Linked DNA regions of Pelodiscus sinensis. The protein of the gene in region 1 purifies or fractionates together with the protein of each later gene. This does not show direct contact. Links are inferred from orthologs where the notes say so. Each region holds a gene or a part of one and is shown on either strand. Other genes may lie near its edges.

Region 1 (7,622 bases):
ACCCTGGGGGAGGGGCTTCCAGGAGTGCTGACAGGGCCACTGCCATTTGCTTTCCCACTCTCTGGGCCTCCTCACCACCTATCCTGCAGGGCCAGCTTCCTGGTCTCCCTCAGCCAAGATACCTTGCTGAGATCAGTGCCCTCCTCTGCCCCCAGGAAGCAGTAAAGATACTGAATCTCTTCTGGTCCAAGGAAAGGCCAGTTTAGGCCCCAGCTTCCTGAGATACCACTCCCCAAATGGGATCAAAACCCACCAATGAATTACTTGGGTAAGCTCCCTTTAGCAATGAAAGGGGAAATGTACACACTGGTTGCCCCTCCCTGCCAGGTAAAAATTATTTTCATTGGGCTTGATAGAAAATAAAGTGTTTTTATTAACAACAAGCAGTAGGATTTAAGTCAGGGCTACTCAGCACATGGCTTGTGGGTCACATGTGGCTCATGGCCCATTTATTTGTGGCCTGTGGTCTGATTTGGGTTTATGTGGCTCAACACGCGGTCTGCAGGTGGGATCCTTTGAACGTGGCCTCTATTGGGAACACACTCCACAATGACGAGGCATCTTCCATGCGGGGTGAGCACTGAAAGACACAAGTGGACAGGCTGGCTGGACCAGATGGGTACAGAGTGTCAGTGTTTCTAGTCCCCAGAGAGGAGGTGTCAGGAGCTGGGGCATTGTGGGAAGTGCTGGCTACTTAGCCTTGTGGGCAGAATCTAAAAAGTGCTGACTGGCTCACACTGGCCATGTTTGGGTCTAGCGCCACAACTTAAATCTTTGTTTTCATGCCAATAAGCGTGAAAGAAGTTATTTGCATATACTTGCATATATATTTACATGTATATGCAACCACACTTAAGCTGTGGCCCACTGCATGTGCTGTGAGTATCATTGTGACGCTCGGGGCTTCCAAAGTTGAGTAGCCCTGATTTAAGTGGTAGTAAGTGAGAACAGGCAGAGCAAAGTAGATTACAAATCAAACGTAACAAAAACTGCTAAGCTAATTCTGACACTAACTAAAATCCTCAGAACAAACTATAAACTCACCCTAAAACTGTCTCATTTCCAGCACAACCTTCCAAACCAGGGCTGTCCCTCACCTTGGAGCCTTTAGTTCACCCTCTTCACATCTGCCCAACCAGCCCAAAGACCCAGACTACTACCTTCCTATTGTTTTTAAAGATTCCCTCCTGGGAATTCACCTGGCCAGTTGGGGTGAACATGTGACTTTCCCAGACCAACCACTGCTAAGACTTAAAGGACAAAAGAAAGTGTTGGTCATCAAGTTGGTCATCAAGACATTGCATCTTTAATGCTATTCATTCACACATTTAAAACCATAAAGCATTCCCCAGTCCATATGTCTAATTTTATACACAAGAATGACACACATACCAAAATGAGATGAACAGATCTAGCAGATTAAGATATGAAGATTGATAGGTTACATGAAGTAATTTGCTCAAAGCACTTTGGAGTTATGTACATTTGTACCCATAAGTCCATTTCATAAAGCATCAGGGGGTCCATCACGTTGAGACTCTCAGCTTGCATCTTTCTAGCTCTCATGTTGCAGAGAAAAGGTACAAAATGTGAGCCAATGGTACCCAAAAGTTTCAGAAGCTAAGCCCTTGTCTACACTACAGAGATCATGTGTGTCCGATATTTTTTTGAAAGCCATCTTTGGCAGCAGAACACAGAGACTCCCAGTCCCCACTCCTGGGTGCCACAGCTAAGCGTTACACCAAGGTGACTCAACTTTGGAAGTCCTGGGAGCCACAATGATACCTACCGCACATGCTGAGGGTAGGGTTACCAGATGGCTTTCAAAATAATATCAGACATACAAGATCTCAGAATGGGGGGAGGGGAGGAACCAGCTGGGAGGGGTTCGGGGGAGCAGGGCTGATCGGGGGCAGGGGGCAACTGGCTGGCGGGAAGCAGGGCTGGGCGGGGAGGATAGGAGGAGCAGATCTGATGGTGGGGGGAGGGGGAGAATGGCTGGCAGGAAGCAGGGCTGGCCAGGAAGGGGTCAGGGGGAGCGAGGCTAGCCGGGGTGATTTTGGGGTGGAGGCTGGCCAGCGGAGAGCTGGGCTGGCCAGGAGGGGGTCGGGAGGAGCAGGGCTGTCCAGGGGAAATTGGGGGAAGGAACCAGCTGGTGGGAAGCAAGGCTGGCCAGGAGAAGGTTGGCGGGGGTGGGGCTGGCCAGGGGAAATAGGGGTATTGGGAGGCGGACCAGCTGGTGGAGAGCGGGGCTGGCTGGGAGGGGGTCGGGAGGAGCAGGGCTGGCTGGGGGAGATTGGGGGAAAGGAACCAGCTGGTGGGAAGCAGGGCTGTCCGGGAGAGGGTCGGAGGGGAGCGGGGCTGACTGCGGCGGTGCGGGGGAGACGACTGGCAGGCAGGGAGCAGGACTGGCCGGGCGGGGGAGGAGGGGTCAGAGGGGAAGAACTGGCTGGTGGGGAGAGGGCTGGTTTGGGCACACACAGATCCTGGAGTGCTGCCCATCCCGTGCATGGTCCCGGCAGGGTGCATGAGTGAGTCCGACCCCAGAGATTCCATCCCGCCTCACCCCCGCCCCCTCCTCCCTACTGCGTAGCTGTGTACTGCCTGGCTGGTAGACACGTTCACGCACTATGCAACTTTGTACTGATACTCAGGATAACAATAAAACTTACTTAATTAGAAAATACTGGACATTTATATGTCGGGTATTTTCTCAATTTGTTTCCCGGACAGAAAGCTCAAATACCGGACTGTCCGGTTCAAAACCAGACACCTGGCAACCCTAGCTGAGGGCTGAAACTTAAATGTGGTTGCATATACATGCAAATATATATACACTCAGCTTCTTTCACATTTTGGGCATGAATACAAAGATTAAGCAAGACCACATAACACACAGGCCCCATTTAAGTCAGTTGTGCTGATATTAATAAAATGCAATATTTACCCGATTTCCATCCATAGGACAGCACTTTTAGTGAGCAATGACAGTCCAGGACTTAAACTACTAAAACGCATATCACCAAAAAACCATTATATTGACTACTTTTTTTGGGGGGGGGCTCTCACCTGCAGGCCGCATATTGAGCCCTGCGTAAATCCAAACCACACCACTGGCCGCAAACAAACGGGCTGAGCGCCGCATATGGCCCATGGGCCACATATTGAGAAGCCCAGCACTATAACATGTACCCTCTCCCTCCACACCTGTTCTCGCACCTCACTCCATTCCAAAGCCTGTAACCCCTCACCCCTTCTTACATCCACTGGCCCAGCCCAGAGGCTGCACCAGCACCCAAATTGCACCCCCCCCACTCTCCCTCCCGCACCCAAACTGCACCCCCCCACTCTCCCTCCCTCACCCAAACTGCACCCCCCCACTCCTCCTCCCGCACCCAAACTGCATCCCCCCCACTCTCCCTCCCTCACCCAAACTGCATCCCCCCCACTCTCCCTCCCTCACCCAAACTGCACCCCCCCCACTCCTCCTCCCGCACCCAAACTGCATCCCCCCCACTCCTCCTCCCGCACCCAAACTGCATCCCCCCCACTCTCCCTCCCTCACCCAAACTGCACCCCCCCCACTCCTCCTCCCGCACCCAAACTGCATCCCCCCCACTCCTCCTCCCGCACCCAAACTGCATCCCCCCCACTCTCCCTCCCTCACCCAAACTGCACCCCCCCACTCCTCCTCCCGCACCCAAACTGCATCCCCCCCACTCTCCCTCCCTCACCCAAACTGCATCCCCCCCACTCTCCCTCCCTCACCCAAACTGCATCCCCCCCACTCTCCCTCCCTCACCCAAACTGCACCCCCCCCACTCCTCCTCCCGCACCCAAACTGCACCCCCCCCACTCCTCCTCCCGCACCCAAACTGCACCCCCCCCACTCCTCCTCCCGCACCCAAACTGCACCCCCCCCACTCCTCCTCCCGCACCCAAACTGCACCCCCCCCACTCCTCCTCCCGCACCCAAACTGCATCCCCCCCACTCTCCCTCCCTCACCCAAACTGCATCCCCCCCACTCTCCCTCCCTCACCCAAACTGCACCCCCCCCACTCCTCCTCCCGCACCCAAACTGCACCCCCCCCACTCCTCCTCCCGCACCCAAACTGCACCCCCCCCACTCCTCCTCCCGCACCCAAACTGCACCCCCCCCACTCCTCCTCCCGCACCCAAACTGCACCCCCCCACTCCTCCTCCCGCACCCAAACTGCATCCCCCCCCACTCTCCCTCCCTCACCCAAACTGCACCCCCCCACTCTCCCTCCCTCACCCAAACTGCACCCCCCACTCCTCCTCCCTCACCCAAACTCCATCCTCCCCACTCCTCCTCCCGCACCCAAACTCCATCCTCCCCACCGAGAGGCGTAGGCGGGAGGGCGGATCTGGGGGGGGGAGGGGTTGCGGGCTCTGGGCACCGCCAGTTTCTGCGGACCTGCCGCCCAGACGCCTGTGACCCACTAGGTTAACCCAGGTACGAGCCTCGGCGCCCCGCCCAACAGCCCACTCCGCCAGCAAAGCGTCTCCGCGCGTGCGCAGGAATAGTCTTCCACGTCCTCTCCAGGAGCCGAACGGGGCGATTCGGCCTCTATAGGAAGTTTGAGCTTTGGGACGCTCCGTATCCGAGGAGCTCTAGTGTGCGAATACGGCGTATCCGCCACGCTACGGGATCGCGGAGGGGTCAGTTCCTTTCGCTCGGTCCCTGCTGTCTCCGCGCTGCGTTGGAGAAACTGAGCAGCAGCCATGCCCCGCTTCGCCCAGCTGGTCATGGGCCCGGCGGGCAGTGGGAAGGTGAGACCACCCTTCGCCTTGTACCGAGGGTGGACCCGGGGCGTGCGGCGGGAATGGGGGCGGGGCATAAGGGGTTGGGGTAATTGAGGAAACTGAGGCATGGGAAACTGAGGCATGGGTAAGTACTTGGAGGCGTGGGGGTAAGTGGAGGGTTATGAGGCGGCTTAAGTGGAAGTTGCCGTGTACTCCCGTTGGCGTTTCTTGCAATCTGACATGGTGTAAAGTGGCGGTGACTCTTCTGATAAAATAGTCCTTTGTGGTAGCCTACAGATAACCCTTTGCATTGCGTTTGCATCGCTCCTTTCATCGGGAGACTGGACGGTGCTGTACAGAGGAGGTGTTATCCCCCTTTCACAGCCAGGGATACTCAGGCATAGAGGGGAAGTGCTGCATATGTTGGACGGTTACGTCAGGCAGAGCTGGGAATGGAATTCGGGTATTCAGATTCCCAGACTCCTGCTTTCAATATTAAGACTGTTGCCTCTACTTTCAGGTATAAAATTGCAACTTTTAGGTACTTTCAGTGGGTAATAAGATTCCTATTTAAATTACAGAGCACTTACTGTTCCACCATGGTTCAGCATTGTGCAGCCCTAAACCGCTCAGTGCAAGTTGTTAACCTGGACCCTGCAGCAGAATACTTCAATTATCCTGTGATGGCTGGTGAGTTGTGTTTGGGTGCATTGTTTCTTAATTTCCTGTACTCTCCGAACTGCTGAAAATGGATAGAGAATAGAACAGTTCTTACACAGGCTGAATCAGGCTTGAATATCGAGTTTTCTTTTTAATGACAAATTCAAATTTAATTCAAATTTGACCTGTCTGCATGTCAAAGCTGTTCCGATTTGACTTACAGCACTCTCCCGATTTTAAATCTGATTTTTATTTTTTAATAAAAGGATATATATATATATATATATATATATATTATACACACACACACAAAACTATGGTATTTTGAGGCAATATTAGTAGGACCTATACAATATTTTTCCTGAATCTATAGCAGTATTTTACAAACCTTTTAGAAATAGTCAGTGTTCTGGTTTCCCCCTATATATACATTTTTTTTGTCTGTTTGAAGGAATGGAGAAAAGAAACAACACTTTAAAAAAAACCCAGGAATTTGTGACTGTAAAATCACAAAAATTGGCAAAAGGCATGGGGGATGGGAGAGCTGGGGCAGCACGTGAAACAAATTTAGTTGGCGAAGATCATTTGGAGATTTAAACTTGTAGGAATTTGCTTCTGGAATTTATTTATGAAGTGTTGAAAAAAACACAAAACATGCACTTTTTATTCTAGACATTCGAGAATTAATTGAAGTAGATGATGTTATGGAAGATGACAACTTAAGGTTTGGTCCCAATGGTGGTTTAGTGTTTTGCATGGAATACTTTGCCAATAACTTTGATTGGCTTGAGGATTGTCTTGGCCATGTGGAGGATGACTACATACTCTTTGATTGCCCAGGTAAACAAGCTTTTATATTCTGGTGACTTAATTTTTTTTCTTATCTGATGTGTAGATTTTTTTTGCATGTATTTGATCATTTGCAGATAAAGCCTTTTTTAACTGTTATGTGGTTTAGTGCCAAAATGAAACATATTATTTTGTTTAAAACTGTCCAAGAGCAAATACTTCTTTTTAGATAATGCTATCACACATTCTGTGCTAGATTTCACTAATTTTAATAGCAATATCTTCTGCCTATCTACTATAATGGTATTTGATGAACTAATATGCTATTACTGTCTCAGCATTAGCTTTACACTCCTGCATATTAATTATGTATGTGTCCTAGGTCAGATTGAACTTTATACTCATTTGCCAATGATGAAACAGCTGGTGGAGCAGCTGCAACAGTGGGAATTTCGTGTCTGTGGAGTTTTTCTTGTTGATTCTCAGTTTATGGTGGAATCTTTTAAGGTAGGAGTTTTAAATTGATTGTAACAAAGTTTTTAATTTACAGATGAACAATCTGGAGAAATGAATAACTATATTCAGAATATGGATGTTAAATATTGGTGAATTGAATAGTCAATTAACCTCATGAATTCTTATTGGTTAGTCGACTATTCTATAGTCCCCAGGCAGCCCCTGTCCGGGGGGGAGGAGTCTGAGCTCCCAGACCCGGCACAAACCGGAACTGAGCCGGGCTGCCTAGCTTCTAATAAACTTTAAATGCAGAGCTGCAGTGGGGGTAGGTCCAGGACCCAGTGCAAGCCAGGGCTAAGCTGGGCTGCTGGCCAGCCTGCTAAAAATTTTACTGGCGGGGGGTGGGGGCAATGAGTGTAGTCTATAGCATTAACCTATAAGCTTTTGCTTATCAGTTAATCGACTGTACTGTTACATCCCTAATTCAAAAGCAATCATAGCATTTTTCACCTCTCCATTGTCACTCTTTTGTAAACTTAAATATTCTTTATGGCCTAATAGTCTATGGAGGTGTGGGTAGGAAATGGGAGTCATGAGATCTGCGAAAAATCCTTGAATGCTGACTGTTCACTGTATCAATTAACCTGTAAAATGAGCAAAATTGGTACTTGAAAAATGAAGTTCCTGAAGTAAGGGATACACTGAGATGGGAATCCTAGAACTCGCCCAGAAGTAGGTTGGCTTCTGACCTAACAATGTCCTTAGACATTGCTTTGCCTCCTACATTTCATATCTGTCTGTTGCTAGTAGGGGCAAAACTAGCAAAAGACAGAAATGAGGCTGTAGGGTAAGTTGTGCATATATGCACAAGACTGGGTGAAAAAGGCTGATGGAGTAAGTTGGAAAAAAGTATAGTACAGAAGGGGAGAGACCCTGTATCTTCATTCAC
Region 2 (8,101 bases), on another chromosome or scaffold:
AGTGTAATTGAACTTGTTACAAAGCAAAGGATCAAATTAGGTCAAATCCTAGTGTGTTTTTGAAGATCAGAATTTGGCATACATTTCCCTAGTACATGCCAACATTACTGTATTGGTGTTAAGTTTACCAATGATAGTGTGAATATGGGCTTGCAAAATAGAAACATTTCAGAATTAATGTGATCCAATACTTAAAGATGACAGTTTAAACATTTGTATTCCTTGGAAAACTAACTTGGATGCTGACTTCCATTTCCTTAGACAAACAAAAAAAAAGTTACCTATTAGAGGTCATATTGTCCTTTAATTAAAATTTGGAGACCTAATCTGCTTTTTTTTTTTTTTTTTTTTAATATACAGTGGTTGCACCTTTGATCTTTAGAGGTGCTTAGGCACCTCTGAATTGGGACTTTTTAAACCTCTGATTTTGAAAGCATTTATGCACAAGAGTAGCCTTATTGACGTCAATGGAACAATTTGAGTTTAAAGTTAAACATATATTTAAATGTCTTGCTGGAGCAGGACCTAAATTTCAAAAGCGAGTAATGGTTTTATTCACTGACACTGGATGCTTCAGTTTTCTTGGGTCTCAAGTTCAGCATTAAAAATCACTGATTTCTAAAAATTTAAGCCAAAAGCTATTAATTCCATATGAATTAGGCCAATACTGCAGCTTGAAAGTTGACCTGAGACCTTAGACTCATAGGCTGTGTCTACACTGCATCCCTTTTCCGGAAAAGGGATGCAGATGAGACAAATCGGAATTGCAAATGAAGCGGGGATTTACATCTCCCCCGCTCCATTTGCATGAACATGGCTGCTGTTTTTTTCCTGCTCGGGGCTTTGCTGGAAAAAAGCGTCAGTCTAGATGGGATCTTTTGGAAAATAAAGCCTTTTCCGAAAGGTCCCTTATTCCTGATTTTTAAGAGGAATAAGGGACCTTTTGGAAAAGACTTTATTTTCCGAAAGTTCCCCGTCTAGACTGGCGCTTTTTTCCGGCAAAGCCCCGAGCCGGAAAAAAGCGGCAGCCATGTTCATGCAAATGGAGTGGGGGAGATGTAAATCCCCGCTTCATTTGCAATTCCGACTTGTCTCATCTGCATCCCTTTTCCGGAAAAGGGGTGTAGTGTAGACACAGCCATACTGTCATGAATGGGCTTTGGAGCAGGCCCTATAAAGTCACTGAGGTCTTGCAGAGACTGTTGAATTGGACCTTTGATATAGGAATAAGCTTCTAGAAGTCTACACAATGTACACACATTATTTTGCATCTCTCACATTATTGGAGATGAGTGCTGAAATATTCAATGTAAAATGTTTCTATCTTGATCAGAATTAATCAAATATATAATGATAGTATTTGAGACTATTATAGTGAATTAGTCCTATTTTTAAATGTCAAAAATATAAACTTTGTCTGGTACAAGTTTCCAAGTATCTTCCTAATGTTTTATATACAGTATATTTTTAATTAAAAATAAACTTTGCCCATATAGGATTAATGTGCCATACATAATATATAAAGATACAGTACAACTGGTGTATTTCTCATGAAGATCTAAAACATCTGGGTATTAGTAGCACTATGGGTTTTAGTCCAATCTCCTTTTTTACAGAAATAGGCTTGTTTGTTTGAACAGGGAAATATGCTTTTTAGACAATGTCTCAGACTAGTACTGATCTCCCAGGAAAAACAAAGCAGGATTTTTAATTTTGTTTTTTGTTTGTTTCCATGTGGGACTAAGCAATAGCAGACCCATGTATTAAGTGAACATTCTTTTGGACACCTGTCAAAAACTACTACTGAAATTCTCTCTATGTTCACATGGGAGTGAAGGGAGACTAAAAGGTCTCAAATTGCAACACTTCTCAATGACTCCTCACGCCATTTCATCTTTATACCTTGTTAAAAATATCGCATCAAATAGATGAGTACAGATTTTTCAATTTGAGAAACTCAAAATTGAAAGGAGTTCTTACTTGCACGCTTGTTACATTGTGAAGTAGTACATTGTTATCTTCATGAATATGGGGCTTACATACATAATTCATATGTATCAAGAGACGAATATATCCCAAAAGCTGAAAAGGAGAGTTCTCTTAGTAATTCCCTAACCTTGGGAAATCTAAATTTGTGCGCTGGGCCTAAAGAAAAGATTTTATTTTTAACATGTACAAAAATTGTATCGTAACACTTTTTTATCATAGTGATTTATCTTTCTAAACTTCCTAGAAAAATTTTCTACACAAAAAAAATTTACTTTGAGACCTGTTGGAACATATTTTAGTTTAGAAACCTCTAATCTCTCTGGGAAATTGTCACTGTAACTTCCTACTAGAAAATGAGGATACAATAATTTGCTTGCATTTGACTTTTTAAAAGGGCATTTTATAGCATGGTATATGTTGGTGATGACTTAAACATTACAATTAGGATACATTTTAATAATGATTTGGATGTAGATGTTTCTTCTAACTTTTGTCTGTTACATTTGAACTATGAGCATGCAACTTCCAATCTGAATTTTGTTTCTTGAAAACAGGCAAATTATGTAGCAGCAGCTTTAGTAGATGAAGTACAAATGAATTTTTGTGATGTGCATTTTTTTGTAGGCATTAAAAGTTTATGATAAACCTTTGGTGAGAAGTCATTCATGCAAGCTGCTTCTCAGTTTAAATGTAATGCATTCAGCTATTTGATACATTATTGCAAAATGAATCTTGACACAAACCACAAGTTAAATTAACTGGTAAATAGAAAAGGATGAATGATGTATTAACATAAATGTAAAAATAAACACTGAATACAGGTATATTAAGCTATATAATTGTTAAAATAAGTGTGTGTTGTGTATAAACACACACACAGAGGCCTAGTTTAGTACAACCCCCCCCCCCCCCATCTTAAATTTTTTTGTAAAGGTTATATTTAGTTTAAAATAGTTTTTTTCCCCCCAGGGATTACCAACCAGTCCAAACCAGCTTTTCTTGAGGAAAAATAACTAAAAAAATGTAAATACAAAACAAGACTGTAACTGATTATTTAAATCAAGGTTTCCTGTTTCTGAGTTAAGAGCCCATCAACTGCATGGATTGATTTATTTCCCTTTTAAATGTTTTCATTCATATTGTAGGTTAGATGTCTCTGACCTAATGCTTCTAGAAATGTTTACTATAAAGCAGCATCCATCACTTGTAAAACCAGTTCACAACATGTCAGTTTTTAAAGAAATAACTCTGGTCCAAACTAACTGTTAGTTTAACACTATTGACTTACACAGCCTTCAGAATTCTAATAGTAATAAAACAGTTTACTGCAAACTCCACAGCCTGCTTGGCCTTGCATCTTTAACTATCCCACTTGGTTGTCATCTATCTGAGGAAAACAACAGCATGCACTAATGATTCTATTTGTTTTATCCAAAGATGTTAAAAACTGGGATGTGTTTTTAGGGGGTATGGGTGGAACTCATTACCAACAAAATATCACTGAGGACAAGTACTTAAGATTAAAAATGGATGATAAGAACATTCGTAGTTGTATAAAGTAGGATAAAAGTGTTAGGATATCTAATCTCCTCCTTTACAGAATAAGCTAACTACTAAGTTTAAGAAGAAACTCTTCCCCTGGGGCAAGTTATTATGTAATTTTCAACCGTGGTATTCCTTGCACTTTATTCTGAACATCTGGTATTGGCCATTTATGAGCACCAGACATGATATCAGAATAATGGAACAGAGGATGTGGCAATTCCTGTATTCCTTACTCGTTTGCATAGTAGAGATCCTTGGGTGCATCAGAGGTGCAAACTATTATTGAAATATGACTATCGTCTTCTTAGAAAGCATACAGTGATTTGTTTAAGTCTCCAGTGTGACCTTGCTTCTGAATGATGCCTAAACATTATTACATACATCTTTTAACACAAGATCAACATAGGGACTTTTATTGTGCATGTTGATGCTTCTAGTAAACAGTTGTTTTATTCAACTGGAAAATCCACCTCCACTGAAAGACAGGAATGTGATTTGTGTGTATTCTTCTGAGCTTCTCTTGAGAATCCCAAAAATCCACATATAAGGCTCAATACATTGAGTCGATAGGTGGCCTTGCAATTCCAAACCTAAAAAGTTCTTGAGGAAAACTGCAATGCTTGTTGTGGAGAGTTTTGTGATTAAAGTACATCAGTGTAGGATTCAGGAGATGAGAGCAAATCACTTTTCTTGTTCCTCATTTACAAAACGGAGATTACAGTAATTTGTTACCTCACCACAGTATTGTGAACATAAAATTGGAAATAACTGAAGTGCTGAGAGCACCACAGCATTAAAACTGGAAAAAATATCACGACTGTTGCATACTGACATTGTCGCTTTGCAGAATATAAACTTACCCTTAGAAGATAATGGGACTGCATCGGCACTTTCAAACCTTTGTTCTCTGCAGAAGGTCAAAGTTGGAGTTTGTTGGTTTGCCTAGTATTTGAGAGACTATTTTAGTTCTTAACCCTCTGAAATCCTAGCCGACTGCTAAGGGGGGGGGGGGGGAAAAGTGCAGACTACAACTCTGGCTCATTTGTTCTTCCCGACTTTACAGAGACGGTAACAGCGGCTTTCCCATGCAATACAGTGTCCAGCAAACAGTAACCAAGGGACTCGTCTACTGGAATAATATTGCCACACAATTATGCAGGGGCTACGTGCTGGCTTTGTACCAGGTGCGTTCCGACGGAGCCTGCGATGCTCTGCCCGGCACGATACCGCGCCCCCTGGTGGCTGAACAGCAGAAGTTTAACTTTCCGTGGCACATGCCGCACTCAACCCCCACCCAGGCCTGGCTGGGAGTGTGGGTGGGATTGGGGAGCTGATTTTAGAGGAGAGCCTGCTGCACCCCTCCCCCCACCCCAGGACGCTTCAGTGGGACATTTTCACTCAGGCAGCTTCCGGGCCCCTGAGCCGGGAGAAGCTGCTCGCACAGTGCGGGCGCGTTCCCCCCTCCCCCGGGCCGTTAAAAGAGACGGAACGATTCCGCAGCGCCTCTTGTTGTAGAGGGGGCAGGTTTCGTCGTCGCACAGCGTGTCCCTCGCGGGGAGCGTCCGCCAGCTGCCGTGTCCCTCCCGGCTCGCCTCTCTGCCGCGCTCGCCATGGACGCGTTAGCGGTAGAGCTGGGGACTCTGACCCCGGAGCAGGCGGCGGCTCCCGTGAACACGGTGGAGGTGAGCGAGGGGGTGAAGGCGCCGCCAGCCCGCAGAGGAGGGGCGGGCCCCGAGCAGCGGAGCCCCCGCGAGCTGTGCCCCCTGCTGCGCATGCGCGTCGCCCCATGGTGCGGCTGCAGGGGGCTTTCGGGGCTCTGGAGACCGAGTCCCCGAGTCAGCTGTGGCGCATGCGCGGGGCTCCGCCGGCTTTTCCACGCTGCCCAGTTCTCTCCCAAGGGAGGGAGCTCGCTCTTCTAGGCTGGCTGCTTTGCCAGGTGGCCCCCGGGGCTTGGGGACAACAGGCACCTGTATAAAGCCCCACATGTCGGGACTCGTCCCTATAAAATCAGGACATCTGGTCACCCAACTTCTCCTGCTAACCATCATCATAGAAACAAGCTGATATCTAACATCTTGTGCTAATTGAGGCCACCTCTTCTTCAAGCTGCAACTTTGCTGTGTGTGAAATTACCCCCGCTGAGATATCAGGCACCACCATAGCACGTGAGCAACATAAAAGTTGCTAGCCATAGCAGTGTTCCTCCCGGACTTTGTGGCATTTCTGGTACTTCTCCTCCTTCTTCAGGGTAAAAGTGCTGTCTGGGTTTGCATTTTTAGATTTTAATCCTCTGTTCCTTTTTTTGCTAGTGGCTTAGTGGACAGAAGGGAGGTGTCAGAAATGTAGCCTTTAAATCAAGGTGCACAATGCAAAGAGCTCAGCACTGTATTCCATTGCAAGGTTAACTTGTTATATGCTCCCTTTGAGCCTCATCTTGCAAGTAGGATAGTGATAGAAATGTAGCCGTGTTAGTCTGGGGGTAGTTGAAGCAAAATGCAGGACAATGTAGCACTTTAAAGACTAACAAGATGGTTTATTAGATGATGAGCTTTCGTGGGCCAGACCCACTTCCTATTTGATCTGAGGAAGTGGGTCTGGCCCACGAAAGCTCATCATCTAATAAACCATCTTGTTAGTCTTTAAAGTGCTACATTGTCCTGCATTTTGCTTGCAAGTAGGGTGAGCATCTTTTCAAAATGCAAAAAGAAGACGCATGCAAGAACCCTCCCTTTTGCGGGTCCTCCACTTCCACCAGAAACCCTCCTCCAGCCAGATTGGAAACTTGGAGCCAACTGTGCTAAGAGCTACCCAGGGATCTTTGGTCACTATGGGGAGCCCTAGACCTTCCATCTGCCCTGAATGGGCAGCCAGAGTCCATAAGAGTGGTGCCAAACCTGTGTCCCTGCCCCATGGGGTGTGCTGCCCAGGAACTGGTGGATACAAGGTCTGAGTCTCCAGGGCTCCACACAGGGACCTGGGCTCTGTGAGCAGCTCTTATTACTATCTAGCACCAGCTTCTGGCGGGGGATGGGGAGGAGGAGCAGGGGGCAAAACCTTGTGGAGAAAGAGAGCTTCAGCCCACCTGACTAAATAGGCTGACGCTATCCATAAGCCTCTGGTAGGTGCAGAATGGCACCATGGGAATCATTTAGCCTGGAACCAGGACTTGAAACGTACGTTGGTGGGACTGTGCCATCCAGTTAGGGAAGGTGGTTATCCTGCCTGGGGATGTTGGATGCTCAGTACTTCATGGAATTAAGCCTATATGTAGTAGGCACAAAAGGGTTGAGGCTGCCACTTGCACACTAGTTCCATCATGATTTTATTTGCTCTTGTAGCTGCCCTGAAACTAATTTTGTGCCAGTTTTACTTGTGACGTGCATGAGTTTATCATATAGGGTAAACCATGCAAAGTTATAACTCTTTATTGAATTCACCTTCCTCCACATTCATGTTTGTTCAAACTACTACAGTAAACTTCCAATAATCCGGCACCTTTAGGACCCAGGGGGTGCCGGATTATCAGATATGCCGGAGTATAGGAAGGGGGCCTATGAGGGTCTGGGTGGAGTTGGGGGGCTGTGCCCCTCGGCGCTGCGGGACCAACCCGGTAGCACCCCAGCTGCTCTGCCCCCGGCTTCCCCGAGTCAGCCACTGGTTAGTTTAAGCAGCGGCTGAATCGGGGAAGCTGGGGGCAGAGCAGCTCCAATGGTCCGGCTGCCCGGAGCACTTCCGAGTTCCAGATGATGCCGGACCATCAGGAGTGCCGGACCACTGGAGTTTTACTGTACATACCAAAATAGTTTGTCATAAATCCTGCTGTATCCCTTTTAAACATGGGAGAGGGGAGAGGGGAGGGAAACAGAACTTGATTTGAATTCAATTTTTCCTCCCTAGATTTGAAATGTAAACATTAAGTTGCTTCCCTTATTTTTTATGATTTTTGCTTTTCTCTTGTGGAATTGTGAATAACAAAGTTGTACTAAAAATCTTAAACAACGAATGACGGAATAAAAATTAACTAAATTTCATGTCTTTGAAAGCTAGTGAAACAATATATCTGGGACTCCACACTCCAGTATACATATCCATGACAATTCTTTTTTATTTATTTGAAGTTAATTTTAGAATTGAATTATTTAATGTTAAGAATCTTTGCTGCCTTTGAATCTTGAAATACTTGTAAAGTTAGACATACTGTCAACCCACAAGTCACATTTGTCTGAATATTTAGAACCTATTTTTTAATTGTAGTAACATCTGAGATTCCTGTACAGCTGAAACACGTTAAAAGAAAAAAGTCTTTTATGTTTTCACATTTGTACATTTGACAGCAATTTGTGTTTGGCTGTGTATATTAGTATTTGTAGGATTAGGACCATAATTCTCTCTCTCGCTGAAAAGACCCTGATAAACATCAATAGGAAAATAAAACATTTTTAAGGAGTGTCTCTTTTTTTCTTTTAAAAAATTAATCAGGACATAGTATTTAAATGGTGTTTTCTTATAAGCTTGTATTTTATTAAATTAGTCAGTTTAAAAACATGTAAACTGTGTTCCTTCAAGT

The links. Proteins that work in one complex are often made in the same cells at the same time.
Region 2: the proteins of GPN3 (region 1) and POLR3B purify together in Homo sapiens (affinity purification with mass spectrometry; 3 studies listed by BioGRID and IntAct, counting the BioPlex papers as one, with this or other methods). This does not show direct contact. The link is inferred for Pelodiscus sinensis from reciprocal best matches to the Homo sapiens genes GPN3 and POLR3B.

The regions. Positions count from the first base shown.
Region 1 is NC_134725.1:32,203,344-32,210,965, forward strand, and holds the start of GPN3 (GPN-loop GTPase 3), read left to right. Parts: upstream 1-4,566; 5' UTR 4,567-4,747; coding exon 4,748-4,795; intron 4,796-5,349; coding exon 5,350-5,458; intron 5,459-6,100; coding exon 6,101-6,268; intron 6,269-6,599; coding exon 6,600-6,724; intron 6,725-7,622. UniProt on the Homo sapiens protein: Small GTPase required for proper localization of RNA polymerase II (RNAPII). May act at an RNAP assembly step prior to nuclear import.
Region 2 is NC_134711.1:96,922,686-96,930,786, reverse strand, and holds the start of POLR3B (DNA-directed RNA polymerase III subunit RPC2), read left to right. Parts: upstream 1-5,084; 5' UTR 5,085-5,144; coding exon 5,145-5,216; exon of another isoform or gene 5,217-5,217; intron 5,218-8,101. UniProt on the Homo sapiens protein: Catalytic core component of RNA polymerase III (Pol III), a DNA-dependent RNA polymerase which synthesizes small non-coding RNAs using the four ribonucleoside triphosphates as substrates.